2 linked regions of the Cricetulus griseus genome follow. The protein of the gene in region 2 interacts with the protein of the main gene of each other region in a biochemical or structural test. Links are inferred from orthologs where the notes say so. Each region holds a gene or a part of one and is shown on either strand. Other genes may lie near its edges.

Region 1 (8,056 bases), on a different chromosome or scaffold from region 2:
ATAATATTACCTATAATAAAGTTAAGTGTACATTATATCTCTTAAGGAATAAACTGCTTCAAAACAATGTTTGGTTAATCACAATAGCTTAAATTTGAATAGGATAAGATGAAGAAATGCCAGTGTGACTTGTAGACTCTTATTTCCTCTTTAATATCTTCAAGTAACTCATAGCATTTAGATTCAGCTTCATTTCTGTTAGGTGAACACACTCTGAATTTCAGAATATGTCTCCTTTTTCTCTGTTGTTGGTATTATAGCTTTTCTTGGTTTGAGATCTATGAATATTTCTTCATGCTGTCTTCTTGAACTTGTGTTCTTTTCCTTGAAATCAGATGATGATAAGAAAGTGGTGGAGCAGGATGGGGACAGGAAGAAAAAGAGAAAGGATCAGAGTCCAGACTTATTGTTTATATTACTTGAAAAGGCACTCTTTCTCAGAACCTAAGTCCTCTCTGGTGGGAAATCCCCCAGATAGCTTCTCCTTCACAGTCTGGAAACCCCCATCGGCAGTGGGTGTTTTCTCTGTTCTTTCCTTCCTTTGGAGGCAACAATAATATGACTAGAAGCCAAGGACTAGCGTAGCAAAGATGTGCACTAGAATCTTGCTGACTAGCTAGTACTTAAATGGGTTTTAAGTACTTTAGTGGGTTGGTCTTGTTTATCCCTAAAGATACCAATTCTTCACCACAACATGAAAACATCAAATTAGGTCATGCTTAATAATCTTATGCAGTTTCTGAAATATAAATTCTCATTAAATATTACTTTTTGTTATTAGTTTATTAATTTATTCACACACTGTATATTTATTAAGCATCTTTCTATGCCAGATAACAAGCTGAGCATGCAAGTGTTCTAAAACACAATCATGGTCTTCAAGGACTCACTGGGGATGATAGACAAGCAGATAGGTGATCCCATTGCTACAGAAAAAGGCTTCAAAAGAATTTAGGAGGAAGTATGGGAGAATAACCCAGAACCAGAGGGAAAGAGTAGGGGCTCTTGGAGGCAATGCTGCCTGTGTTGTGCTCTTACACACTCATGGTGTTGTGAGTAATGTTGGAGGGAAAGGTATGCTTACTGACTGGGGAAGGCAGAGCTCCATGTGTTTAAGAAAATAAAGGAAATGTGTTGATGAAGATGGACCTGCAGATCTGCAGTATCAGACAACAAAAATCATTCCTAATAAAAATCATTGCTAAGAATGATAAACTCGCACTGTACTCTCCTGGCAGCTCTTGGTCAAGGCAGCTCTTGCTACCTGTGACTATGCAAATGCTGGCACCCAGACAGTCACTGACAAGGAAGGACATAAAGTTAAAAGAGTATGTAGCTATAAGCAACATTTTACCATCTACTCTCCCTCTTGCCTGCCTAGAGAAACATGAATATTTAAACGCTTGGGCAGGAACAAAAACGTTCTAAAGAGATATTTATGTTCCTCTCTTTAGCTGTCAAACTGTTGAGGCAATAGGCCTCCCTAACACCCAAATTGGAATTTCCTCAGGAATCTCATGCTGGGAGAAGGAAAAGACTGAAACCTGATGCCAGTCAGATGGCAGAGTAGAGAGCTGGTCTCCTGGAAGGAGATTTCACATAGTTCTGGTAACTTGTCAGGCTACCATGTAGGACAGATGAGAGCCTAAATAATGATTATGGCAAGGACCACACCTTGGTTAAGACAACTTGTTATGAATTCGCCTAGATTCTTCAACACCTACACCTCATGTCAGGGAGTTGAAGATGGACTTGGAGGGTCATTGGACCTCTTTGTCCCTTATTCAAAGTGGTCACACTTAGAAGATAATATGACCACTCTGAATAAATCTCCATTCTCTGCTTTTCACTATTACTGTTTATTTAATTGGCATATGGAGGATGAATGGCCAAGCCTAGGTTGTGAGGGCTTCAGAGCCCAAGTCTTGGCCCAAACAATTCTGAATAAATATACAAGAAGGTAGTGACTTCGGAAAGGAATTAAAAGGTGAAGGAGCTCTTTGCAGACCAAGCTTGGCAGCTTGGCCTTTCTCTTCTGTCAGGCCTTCTCACTATCCCCCTACAAGGCTATTTCCCATTCACCTTCAATCTGAGATGAATTTTTCTGCTGGAGACTGATGATGTTTCTGAATTCCAAGATCCTGTTGAACAGTTGTGGTCAGAAACTGGGATTTTAATCCTTGAGGACAATTGGGAGTTTGAGAGAGATCTGAGAGAAGAGTAGAACCAGCGGCACTCAGTATATTCTACAAGGCATTCTTCCCTTCATGTGAATCCTGTGTTTAAAAAAGTATATTACTCCACCAAATACATCAATAATAGAAGAGCTTCAATATACTTTTCATTAGAATTTCAAAATATTTGAGTAAGCTTTTAGATTGTCTTACTATACCCAGGTACTCTGTAAATCCAAGTTCTTCAGAATGGGACCTTCTAGAATAAAATGAAATTGTTTAAGATCTTCCAGTAGGAGAAGGAGGGATGGTGCCACCCCTAACTAAGAAACTGTTTGTAATTGATACTGCATTGCAAAGGGAAAAATCAGTTTTCTCCAACGGAGTCTCTCATTGGGTAAATTAACCATACTTTACAGTAGGCCTCATATTCAGGAGTAGTTGACATACAGACTAACTCATTGGTATTTTTGTGGGCTTTTTGTTTCATTTTGCTTTATTTTGGCATTTTCTGTCTCATTGGTCTTTTGCTTATTTGTTTTGATTTTCATTTTTGTGGGTTTTTTTTTTTTTTTTTTTTTTGTGTGTGTGTGTGTGTGTGTGTGTGTGTGTGTGTTTGAGAGACACACAGATAGAGAAAGACCATAAAGTTGGATGGGTAGGGAGGTGAGGAGGATGGGGGAGGAACTGAGGAGGGTGAGAGAAATTTCAGTAGGTGAAGGTATTTGTACATAGCCACTGCAAATACTGAAAACAAAGATAATAACTTGGAATTTTACAGGATTCTTTGAAAATATCTAAAGTACTTTTAATAAACAATTTTGAAAATTAGTTCCATGGAATGTCCTGAGAAGCCAGTGACAAGCTTGGAATATTAGGAATATTATTGGTATTAGAGTAATTGGGTAAGTTTCCTGAGGACACACAGCTCACTCACATTCTTGGTCTTATCTAAGCAAATCTCATGAGTGAGGGAACTAGTAGCACCTTCATGTGCCTTTGAGCTCAAGGAGGAGGAAGGTATCCAAGAATCACAGTGGGGAAATCCAGGAACTGTGGTATACATATGGAGAAAGGTGGGAGTCAGGATTTAACTGTTGGCTTTGGATTGTTCTCAAGTAATATGTTTGATTTACAGGTCCTGAGTCAGGGTTGGAAATGTATTAGAGGTTCAAAACCCGAGAATCCAAAGTGTGTGTGTGTGTGTGTGTGTGTGTGTGTGTGTGTGTGTGTGTTTATAAACATTTTATAAGCAAGGTTTTCTGAGCTGGGGAGACATTAAGAATGGCCTACAATTATCTAATTTTATAGACCTGTGTTAAAAGAGGGGAGCATATTTCCATAACATAACTCTGAAGTCCAGGGTCATTTTCTCTTGTGTCTTATACGAATGTCTTATACATTCTTCCCAGTTATTGGGAAAAGGTTCCTGATAGTCTGGTCGGTCAGCACCAATACTACCTGTCCTCTCTGGGTATCCTTGCTTCTAGAGAGGTCTGGAGCTCTTAAAAGCAGTTGGAGAGGGCTACCAAGTATCATGAATTATCAAGCCAGTGAAAGTCAAGGCCAATGGCTGGGCAGTAATAAGGTGGGTTTGGAAGCCCTTATCATAGGAGGGCTATACTATGTTCAGAACTAGGAGTACAGATGGAGTAGACTAAGGGAAGAAGTTTGTACAAAGAGTGTCCATTACTAACTCCACCCCAAAGAAAGCAAAAGGAAATTCTTGAGGACAAAGGTTGTTTCTAAACTGGACAACACAACGGTCTTGGGGATTTCCAACCCAGATACTCACATATAAGCAGACTCCGGGACTCTCTTCTCACTCAGCCTTTCATTACAGACATGGCCTCCTGCATCTGTGTAAGTTGGGGTCTGAAGGGAAAGTATTTCCATGCATTTGGGAATGCAGTTCCACAATTCAGGGGGGTACAGTGCCTGGATGGGGAGGTGGTTGGGTGGGCACAGTTTAAGAGGCAAGGCAGACATTGATAACTGCACAACAGAAAGGAGGTACTCTGGAGAGAGGTTGGTCACTTGGCTTATTGTATTTGTTGTGTATGTACACACACATGCAGGGGCAGGGTCAGAAGACAATCTGCTGGGGTCAGTTCTGTCCCTCCACCACCTAGGTCATAGGGATCAGCTCAGGTGGTGAGGCTTGGTGGCAAGAACATTTTATCAGATAAGCCATTTTGCCAGATAAACTGGGGAGAAATGGCAGGGCACTGTGCTTCAACCAGGATGGGCAAGCTGTGAAATTAGAGAAATAATTTTCAGAGTTCTCATCCTTAAGCTTTTCTCTTTTCAAAGGAAAATTCCCCTAATCTCATTTAAGTTATCAGTGATCTAACATGTTACCTTAAGTGAGACTATGTCCTCATGAAGAGAACCTGCAATCAGGGCAGTGCCCAACACAGGATGACACCTCCACTGAAGGAACAGCTGAAATATCTAGGTTGGGAAGATGTTTTTTTTTAATGGAGTATGAGAAGGTTTCCATAGGGTTTGCAGGCCTGATTCTCCCCCCATCTTCCAGAATTCTGCAGCGAATGAAATTAAACTTAGATATAGTTCCTATCTTCAGGATTAGGATCCTGGTTTAATTAAATGAGGATATTATGCTTTATAACAATAGTTACAAAAAATACAAAAAATATATAAACAATATTAAGCACAGCATCACCACAACCTGGGCATTAACAGAAATTGATGGGAACGTTAATAAGAAAGCAACGGTGTGGAGATTATGACTTAATCAGGGTTCATTCTGAATTAGACATAGAGGGTGAATGAAGCACGGCTGAGAGTATCCTCTGAAGCTGCCACATCTGGGAAATCTGCTTCGGAGTTGTTTAAGAATCTGTATACATCTTTTGAAGCCCTGTATTGTCTTTACTTTTGATATCTGGCTTAGGAGAGGCAAATTAATAAGGTAGGAAATTGGTGATTACATTGGATATATATGTATATATACATATCTCAAGAGGAATGAGACTAATGTTTTAATTTGTGTCATAATATGGCAATTAAACAAAAGTTTCAATAGAGGGAGAGATAAGATTGTTGGGTAGGAGCTGGAGGGCCAAGCAGATGGAACAATGAACGTGAGGGGTAGGGTGTAGAGGGTGGCAGGCATTCTAGGTGACTTCCTTGCCTTTGTTTTCTTAGATTGTCCATTCTGAGAAATGGCCATCAATGACCTTTGACGCTACTGAGAATGACAAAGTGAAGAAGATAAATGAACATATCAGATCCAAAACCAAGGTTTCTGTGCAGGACCAGGTCCTTCTGCTAGGCCCCAAGACCCTCAAGCCCCAGAGAACACTCTCATCTTATGGCATTAACAAGGAAACAACCATCCACCTCACGCTGAAGGTGGTGAAGCCCAGCGATGAAGAGCTGCACTTGTTTCTGGTGGAGTCAACCAATGAAGGGCAAAGGCACCTCCTCCCAGTTCGAAGATCCAGCTCAGTGGCCCAGGTGAAAGAGATGATTGAGGGTGTGACTGGTGTGACCCCCAAGACTCAGATTGTGACTTGCAATGGAAAGAGGTTGGAAGATGGAAAGACCATGGCTGACTACAACATCAGGAGGGGCAGTTTGCTCTTTCTGACAGGGCACTGCATTGGGGGTTGACTATGTGGATGGGGTGATAAGAGGATCAAAGCCCACCCCTTTTAGCTTTTACCAATCACATCCTTTGATGATTTCCAAAAATTAAGGACAATGAAATAAAAATTGGAGATGAGGGGGTGGATTAAAAACATTTGTCAAGTCCGTGATTCCTTGTTTCTGACATACTTCATTGAGTGGCAGGATTGCTGCTGAGAGCGGAAACTGAAATATTAGTCAGGTGTGGTAGTATACACTTTTAATTCCAGGACTGGGGAGTCAGGGACAGGTGGATTCTTGAATAATTGTTGAACCAAATTGAGTCTACTTACAGAGAAGTAATGTATTATGATTTTTTTGCCCCAATAGGATCACAGTCTAATAAATGATTTAGAAATTCATTTACTTATCATCCCCTCTTCTTATTTAAAGATATTTGATATGAAATAAAATCTAGTACCTTCTCCATCTGCTGTGTCTAACACCTAACAAAATGTTCATCTCTGGGTAAGGAAGGGAAGGGGTTAACTTCTGGGTTCTTCTGACTGATAGAACTTCCTTCACCATCAAATAGCTTTCTCCGTTTTCTTTCTATTTGCTCCTCTGTCTCACTCCTGGCCACATGCATGGCTGCTCTCTCATCTTCACCAATTCTAGTCCTTTCTCTTCTTTAAAACTAGTTCAAAAGCCATATCCTGCAGATGGGATTCCCAGCTTAACCAGGCCTGGCACAACTGCCTATACATGCAGATTTTCCTTGTAGTCTTATGCCCTGTGGTGGACACTGGTCACCTGGCTTGTTCTGTATTAGCTGGGCTGGCTCCCCAAGAAGAGAAACTGCATCCTGTTTCTGGAAGCTATTGCTGTAAGGTAGGGCACAAGGACTCTGCCTGATGGCTGAGACCATGGAATTATTCACGGTCTTTTGTAAACTTGGGGAAAACTAAAGGTCAGCACCAGGGTGCCCATCGTCTTATCTCCATGTGGATTCTTCAGGAGTGGTTACCAAGTCTCCTGAGGGTGACGATGTCCCCCTCCTTCATCATGCTTCCCTTCTGTCGAAAGTCTTAAGAGCCGTTTACCCCATCACTATAGTTGTGTGTTTAGATATTTCCGGGATTTCCCCTCAAGAATCCAAATCCTAGCCAGTGAGAGAAAGGGATCTCCCTCTTGCCAACCCTGAACTCCTCGAGGGCAAAATTGCAGATTTTCATGCAAAGACTAACAATATGGTCATCCTAGATCCCCGGACCCTGTGTTCTCCTTAGTCCTCTCACTGTCCGACCTGCCGCCTCCCCAGACTCCTCAAGAACCTCAGTGCCGCTCCCTTCACTTCCTTGTTCCGCAGTGTGTAGATGAGGGGATTGAGCGCGGGTGTGACCACCGTATAGAAGAGCGAGACGAACTTGCCGCGACCCTGGTTGTAACTATATGTGGGTTGCAGGTAAGTGTAGGTGGCAGAGCCATAGAATAGGCACACAGCGGTCAAGTGAGAGCCACAGGTGCTCGCCGCTTTTCGCCGCCCTGCGCGGGAGCGCATACCCCAGACCGCGCGCCCCACGGCGGTATAGGAGACCAGGATGACGGCAGAAGGCACCAACAGGATGACCACCCGCGCCGCGAACATCTGGCGCTCGGTGGCGCTGCGGCCGCCGCGGCAGGCTAGCTGTAGCAGCGCCGGCAGTTCGCAGATGAAGTGGTCCAGACGCCGGGCCGCACACAGCGGACGCGCCGCCAGCAAGGCGGTCTGCGCAGCTGAGTTAGCCAGGCCACCAAGCCAGGAGGCGCTGGCCAGTGCGCGGCACAAGCGGGGTGAGGCGAGTGAGGCGTAATGCAGAGGGCGGCATACGGCAGCGGCGCGGTCCAGCGCCATAACCGCCAGCAACACGCACTCGGCGGAGCCCAGGGCCAGCGATGCGCACAGCTGCGCTATGCACCCGCCGCGCGGTAGCTGCAGCACCGGGCCGCAAAGGCTGGCCAGCAGCGGCGGCACCACACTGGTGGTGAAGCCGACATCCACCAAGGCCAAGTGGCAGAGGAAGTAGTACATGGGTGTATGTAGGCGAGGGTCGCGAATGGCCAGCAGCACCAACGCCGCGTTGCCAGTCAGCGTTAGCAGGTAGCAGAAAAGAACCAGCGCGAAGAGGACGGGTTGCAGTGAGGGCCAGTCCGTAAAACCCAGCAGCAGGAAGCGCTCTGCTGAGCTGTGGTTAGCCTGAGGGGAAACTCCAAGAAGGTTCGGAAGGGTAAGACAAAGAAGTTTAATG
Region 2 (7,620 bases):
AATGTCATAACTCCCTTAGTAAATACTAGTCTGGAGTCCCCAGAAATTATCAGGCACAGCTGTGAAAATTTTTAGAAGCACTAAAACCTTTAGTAAAGAACAAATTTAATTTTTAATTTTTAAAAATTTAATTTAATTTTTTTCAGCACTAAAGGTAGAACCCAGGGCTTCACACATGCTAGGCAAGCTCTTTACCACCAAGCCACACCCCCAGTCCTATTATTGGCATTTCATTCTCTTTCTTTTGGTTTTCGAGACAGGGTTTCTCTGTGGCTTTGGAGGCTGTCCTGGAACTAGCTCTCTTGAACTCAGAGATCCGCCTGCCTCTGCCTCCCCAGTGCTGGGATTAAAGGCGTGAGCCACCAACGCCTGGCTGAGATCCTATCTCAAAGAATATATTTTTAAAAATATAGTAAATATCATTGATATTGGTATATTCTTCCCATCTTCTCCTAATGACTATTTAAAATGTATTATGAGTAGGAGTTTGTCACACACACACCACAAAACCAAGGGACTGGAGAGATGGCTCAGTGGTTAAGAACACTAGCTGGTCTTCCAAAAGCACTGAGTTCAATTCCCAGCAACCACATGATGGCTCACAACCATCTTTTCTGGCCTGCAGGGATACATGCAGGCAGAACACTGTATACATAATAAATAAATAAATCTTTAAAAAACAAAGCAGTGGGCGTGGTGGCTCATGCCTTTAATCCCAGCACTGGGAAGGCAGAGGCAGGTGGATCTCTGAGTACGAGGCCAGCCTGGTCTATAAGAGCTAGTTCCAGGACAGCCTCTAAAGCCACAAAGAAACCCTGTCTCGAAAAACCTAAATAAATAAATAAACAAATATTTTTTTAAAAAATAAGCAAAACGAAAAAACCTAACCAAATAAAAAAGGTTATTTAATCTGTCTTGATCTCATACAGTTTGAAAAATTAGAATTTTTTGCTTTAAATTTTTTCCCATCCAATGACAATGAATAGTTCACTGTTTTAAAAAGATTTTTATATTTATTTCATGTGTGAGTATTTTTAGTGCATGTATGCACCACATGTGTGATTGGTGCCCTTGGAAGTCAGAAAGAGGGAAGACATTGGATCCCCTGGCACTGGAGTTACAGATGGTGGTGAGCTACCCTATGGGTGTGAGGAGCTGAACCCAGGTCTCCTGCAAGCTACAAATGCTCTGAATCCCTGAGCCGTCTCTCCAGCCTCCACAACTTAAAAAAGTAGTTGTGTGTGTGTTTGTGCATGTACACACAAGTTAGAAGTCAATTTGGAACTTGATTCTCTCCCATCATGTAGGGCCCAGAAACTGAACTCAAGGCAACAGGCGTGGCTGCAGGTGCCTTTACTTGTTGAGCCATCTCAGTGGCCCTGGTTCACTGCTCCTTAAAGTACTTTCTAATATATTAAGGCCATAAGGGTCTCAGCCCTCCTTTCTGTCCCCCGGAATAATCCCAGTTACTCTCATTTTGCTACGGAAATGTTTACTATTTGTAAGTGCTTTAATTTCTCCCTGAATCCTCCCTGGGAGCTGAGATTGAATTTCAGTATGAGGGGGCCTCCGCTTGTCAGTTACGTTGCTTTGGGGAGTTTTTTCTTTCCGTATTTTTGCACTGGAGCTCTGGGGAGCTGCAGCCTGGTCTCTCCTCCCAGGACCTTGTTAAGAAGTACTCTGACCGCCTCGAGTGCTGTGAAGATGAAGTGGAGAACGCAATAGAAGAGATCCGCTGCAAAGCAGTTGAGCGCGGCACAGGGAATGAGCACTACCGAGCAACCGGGATTGCCACAATCGAGGTGTTCCTGCCTCCCAGACTCAGGAGGGTGAGTAACGCCCGCTGCACATGTCCTGCTGTAATTGAGTTGTTGGTTTGTTCGGTTTGGCTTTTTGAGACAGGGTCTCTCTGTGTGGTCCTGCTGTCCTGGAACTTCATATACAGACCCGATGACTTTGAATTCCCAGGGCCTACTCTGTCTGTGCTTCCCACGTGCTAGGGCTAGAGCATGTGCCACAGTGCCCAGTGAGCGCTTGTTTCTGTAAATCTGCCAGAGAGTGCTTAAGGAACTGCAGGTGTTGAATGGTGATGATACATTTAAGGTAGCTTGTTCTTTAAAACATCAGTCACAGAAGTGGGGGGCATGGTAGTGCCGTTGTAATCTCACCAGGGAGACTGAGGCAGGGTTATCCTCAGCTACACAGTGAGCTCAAGGCCAGTCCATGGGCCAGTGAGATGGCTTAGCAGGTAAAGGCTTTTGTCATCAAGCCTAATGACTGGGATGTGTTCCTCAGAACCCAAACGGTAGAAGGAGAACTGACTCCTACAAGTTGTCTTATGATCACAAGTGCTCCATGGTGTGATAGTGCTAAATTAATAAATGTAACTTCAAAAAATTAAAAAAAAAACCATGTACAGAGCTGTGTGTTTGTACCTTTTCTAGTTTAATGATTACAGATACTGAGAAGTAGGGCTGGAGAGATGGCTCAGAGGTTAAGAACACTGGCTGTTCTTCCAGAGGACCTAGGTTCAGTTCTCAGCCCTCACAGTACAGCTCACAGCCATCTTTAACTCCAGTCCCGGGGTGGTCCAATGCCCTCTTCTAGCTTCCTTGGGCATCACACACACATGATACACAGACATACATGGAGGGAAACACCTGTACAAGTAAAATAAACGTGACGGGAAATAAATTTTAAGAAGTCAAAGTAGACAGCAGGTTTTAGAGTCCTATGTTGCAGGACACTCCCTGAAGAAGTCCTATTCTGATGGATGGACCGTAGTCAGCTAAGTGCTGAACAGGACTAGCCCCTTGTCACAGGGCCTCATCCTCAGGTAGTACGTGTCAGCATGTTTTCCTGGCAAGCACTTTACAGCCTTCTCAGAACCAAACAATGTTGACCATTTTCAAAATTTGTATGTGGGCAGGTGAGATGGTTCAGCAGTTAAAATGCTTGCCAGAAAGCCTGTTGATGTCATTGGGATTCCCCGGCATCCACATTAAAGGCAGGAGAGAACTGCGACCACAGCCCTGTCCTCTGATCTTCACAGGCGTGCCATGGCACACCCACATGTCCTCTCTGCCCCAACACGCGCGCGCACGCGCGCACACACACACACTTTTTTTCAAAGGCAGGAAAAAACAACGCATGTTACAAAACAGTAAAAGTGCCTGCCATGCAAGCATGAGGACTTAAGTTCAGATCCCTAGAATCCATGTAAAAAGCCAGGTGTGTAAGGGTTCCTGTAACTCAACCCCTGAGTGTTATAGGCTTACAGGGATGTGGATGGATCCCTGAAGCTCACTGGCCAGTGAATCAATGAGAGACTCTATTTGGGAGGGGAAAAAAAAAAAGAACTCTGAGTTCAAGGCTAGTCTGGTCTACAATTTAAGTTCCGGAGAGTCAGGGCTACACAGAGAAACCATATCTCAAAGAAACCAAAAAAAAAAAAAAAAAAAAAAAAAGAAAGAAAGAAAGAAAGAAAGAAAAGAAAAGGGAAGGGAAGGGTAGATAGTAATCAGGGCACCTGTCACCAGTCTCTGGATCTCACACACATCACACATGTGCACTCCCAATAACACATGAAACGCAAGAATAAACTGACTGGTGAGCATTCACAGTAGCACCACTCATGATGGCTGAGAGGGAGAAGCCTAACTGCCATCAGTGGATGTGTGGATAAACAGATACACCCACGCCACAGAAGACAGCTGGTGGCACAGATACACAACACAACACTAATAGTCTGCAATATGAGCCACCTCAGAAACGTGCAGAAAAGGCCTGACGCTCTGTGGTCTCCTTCAGTGAAGAGTCCAAAATAGACAACTTTGTAGACAACTTTTCTATTTTGTCCAAAATAGAAAAGAAATGGTTGCAAGGCTGGGAAGAAGAGGGATGGGGTGTAGGGCATGGTACCTGGTGATAGGTGGTGAGTGGGGAATGTTCAGAAATTCTATTAAACATTTCATTGTCTTAGGATTTTTTTAAAAGATTTTATTTATTTATTATGTATACAATATTCTTCTTCCATGTATATCTGCACACCAGAAGAGGGCACCAGATCTCATAACGGATGGTTGTGAGCCACCATGTGGTTGCTGGGAATTGAACTCAGGACCTCTGGAAGAGCAGTCAGTGCTCTTAACTTCTCTCCAGCCCTGTCTTAAGATTTTATTTGTATTTTTAATTATATATAAGTATGTGTCTCTGGGTTTGTGCATGTAAACAAAAGTGCCCCCAGAGGCCAAGAGTAAATTAAATTAGATCCTCAGGGTGGATTATAGTCAGGTGTGAGCTGCTCGAGTGGATGTTGGGAAGTGAGCTCAGGTCCTCTAAAAGAAGTATATGCTCTTACCACTGAGCCATCCCTCCAGTGTCATGCACTTTGATGATGATGGCTGGCCATGTGACAAGTCCCACTGAGCACTCAAGGGGTACTCAGGTCACTCTGTCAGTCTGTGCTGGACTGTGTTTATGCTTCTCTGTACAGGCAGTGGTTTGTCCTTAAGTAGAACCCGAGTTTACATCCTGTCACAGTACCCTACAACCTTACATGCAGGGTAGCAGTCCAAAGAAGTGTCACACTCAAGTACATTTAGTTTTGTCTTTTTTCAACAGGACAAGAAAAGTTTATTGGAGACCCGCTTACATGTCACTGGTAGAGACCTGAGGTCTAAGTGAGTATCTGAGCTATGTTTCCCAACAGGTTTGCCCCTCTTACCCTGGTTCATTGAATGCTCTCAAGCTGTCCTGTAAGCGAGGGAGCCAGCCTGTTTTCCTCTTACAGCTGAAGAAATGAAACCTGGAGGGTGGGACAAGAAAGAGGTCATTCTGGGTTCACACACTGCTAGGTAAGAGGCAACACGGCTGCCTGAGTGAGACCTGCTCATGGCTGCCTGAGTGAGACCTGCTCATGGCTGCCTGAGTGAGACCTGCTCATGGGAGCTTCTTGGATGCAGTGCAGCTTTTAGAGGGGTTCAGCTTGGGGCCCACAGAGGAGGTGCCCAACTTGTACCTGAGTGAGTAACTGAGGAATAGAAGCAGGAGCCATCTTTTCACTGAACAGAGCATGTTTTATAATTCCATTCTTTTTTAGCACTAATTGTTTGCTGTGACCTTCATTCAGCAAAGGCCAGTCAACCCAAGTGTTCTGTTGGAGAATGAGGAAGCATCACTCATTCAATGCCCACAAGTAGGCAGTGGTATGGGACAGTTGCAGGGTTCTCAGAGGATGCTGGGAGAGTGTGACTCAGATGGACATCCTCAGCTCAGATACAAGTTTAGAAAGAGCTTGGCTCACTCAGCTCCCAGCAGCTGCCACTGCACCAGCTTTATTGTAGTCGTGTTTACAGGTCAATAGGTGAATAGCCTGGGTGTTTCTAAGTAAAAACCTATTAAGTGGCCATCATGATCCAAGTCTTCATAGTAGGTAACAAATAACAGATTTGCTTCCTGCAGCTTATACTGTGTTTATTTTATAGAATAGCCGAAACTTTTGGATTTCAAGAAAATTACATCAAGATCGTAATAAATAAGAAACAACTTCAACTAGGTATGTCATAGCAAAGAATGCATCTGATGTATAAGTAGTGACTTTCCATTTTTTTGTATTTTTTTCTTGCTTTTCCTCTATTGAAAACTTCCTGGCCATGTTGCATTTATTATCCAAAGTCAATTAATGTTAAAAGTTTACCATAATGAAGATGTAAAGCAGAAAAGGACATTACAATAAATATTCACAGGCCTGCTCTGGGTAGTGGGGAAGAAAGACATTGATTTCAGCCACAAGAATATTCCAGAATGGAAGTCTGTGCTGAGAGGAGGATCTGGGTTACTCAGTTCTCTCTATGACCCTGAGAGAGACGGGTGGACAGGCCAGGTTGGAACACTCTGCGGACAGCCAAGGAAACTGAGTGTAGGGTAGAGGCCTTTCTGAATGTAGAGAGCAAATGGGCCATGGGAGTCTTCCGGCAGTGAGTCTCTGCCGGGGAAGACAGTTTCACCTTCCAAGGGACAGCTGACTTTGTGAGGAGACGATTTTGATTATAATTAGTTGGGGGTGGGGGCTGCACGCCTATCAGTGGCTGCCAAATGCAAGACAGTCCCCATCACCTCACAAAAGCCCCACGTCACAGGTATCTGCCCCAGATGGTGAGTGCTGCTGAGAAGCCTGCGACAATGAGCTTTGTTCAGTATGGAGTTTGTCCTCAGAGAGATGGGGGTCACTGATACTGCAGAGTGCACACAGGGACATTGTGGCTTACAGACCACTGGCTGCAATCTGCAGGAGGCATGAGTGGAAGCCGAGATACATTATCTCTTTAGCAGCTCAGGTGGTTCATGAGGGCTCATGGATCTCCAGGGGAAGTCCCTAGAACCCTAAGTTTCATCTTTCTTTCTTTCTTTCTTTCTTTCTTTCTTTCTTTCTTTCTTTCTTTCTTTCTTTCTTTCTCTCTCCCTTCCTTCCTTCCTTCCTTCCTTCCTTCCTTCCTTCCTTCCTTCCTTCTTCCTTTCTTCCCTTCTTTCTTTCTTCCTTTTTCTTTCACTTTTCAAGACAGGATTTCCCTGTGTAGCCCTGAACTCAGAAATCCACCCACCTCTGCCTCCTGAGTGCTGGGGTAATCGCCTATGCCACCACCGCCCGCCTGATGGCCCAGTTTCTATTGTAGCACCATGTGGCAGCTCACAATCAATAGCTCAGTTCCACAACATCCAATGGCACGTTGGTATCCCTGCACTCATGCAGGCAAAATACTCATTTACACCAAGTAAAATAAGTCTAAAAAATTGAAAAGAATAATGTGAAGAAGCTGTTAAGGAAGACACTGGATGACCTGTGACCTTCACACCCATCCCCCACAAAAATCTAGTCAGGTGGGCTGGGTGGCCCACACCTTTAATCCCAGCACTCTGGAGGTAGAGGCGGGCAGATCTCTGATTTCAAGGCCAGCCTGGTCTGCAGAGTGACTGCCAGGGCAGCCAGCACTACACAAACCCTGTCTTGAAAAAAAAAAAAACCAACAAAATCTAGTCAGGTGACTTTTCCTCTTGCCACCTCCTTTGTCCAGGTGGATCTTGCTTTTTGTATTTGAATGGTAGAATGGTTGTCATTTCTGAAAAAGAAACACAAGAAGAGGAACACTGCGCAAGTGTGCAAAGGAGGAAGTGCAGGAAGGCTGGAGCCCTCATAAACCACCAGCTGTTTGTAGGGGACTCTGGAAGGAAACCCAAGCTGATTCTCAGCTTTCAGGGATAAAGGAAGCTGTCGGTGTCCATCTTTGCGGACTTACCTTCTCTTTTGCTATGTTTATTTTTTAAGCTTTTTAAAGGATTACTTATTTATGTATATGAGTGCTCTGTCCTCCTGTAGGGCTGCTGGACAGACAAGGGCATCAGGTCCCATTACTGATGGTTCTGAGCCTTGTGGGTTCTGGGAATTGAATTCAGGACCTCTGGAAGAGCAACCAGTGCTTTTAACCACTGAGCCACCTCTCTGCCCTCAACATCATTTTTACTAGGTTTTTCTGTAGTGTTTGGCTAACCTATTCACTGGACTAGCTATTTCCCCTTGTTGTGTTTCATGGTTTCTGTTCTTGTCTTTATTTCTACTCATTA

Evidence for each region. The genes of interacting proteins can lie anywhere in the genome.
Region 1: the proteins of Nub1 (region 2) and Ubd form a complex in vitro, tested with the Homo sapiens proteins (6 studies listed by BioGRID, with this or other methods). The link is inferred for Cricetulus griseus from reciprocal best matches to the Homo sapiens genes NUB1 and UBD.

Annotation. Positions count from the first base shown.
Region 1 is NW_023276806.1:228,538,125-228,546,180, reverse strand, and holds Ubd (ubiquitin D), read left to right. Parts: upstream 1-3,476; 5' UTR 3,477-4,019; coding exon 4,020-4,037; intron 4,038-5,345; coding exon 5,346-5,813; 3' UTR 5,814-6,190; downstream 6,191-8,056. UniProt on the Homo sapiens protein: Ubiquitin-like protein modifier which can be covalently attached to target proteins and subsequently leads to their degradation by the 26S proteasome, in a NUB1-dependent manner.
Region 2 is NC_048601.1:97,826,931-97,834,550, reverse strand, and holds part of Nub1 (NEDD8 ultimate buster 1), read left to right. Parts: intron 1-1,661; coding exon 1,662-1,829; intron 1,830-4,623; coding exon 4,624-4,682; intron 4,683-5,486; coding exon 5,487-5,557; intron 5,558-7,620. UniProt on the Homo sapiens protein: Specific down-regulator of the NEDD8 conjugation system. Recruits NEDD8, UBD, and their conjugates to the proteasome for degradation. Isoform 1 promotes the degradation of NEDD8 more efficiently than isoform 2.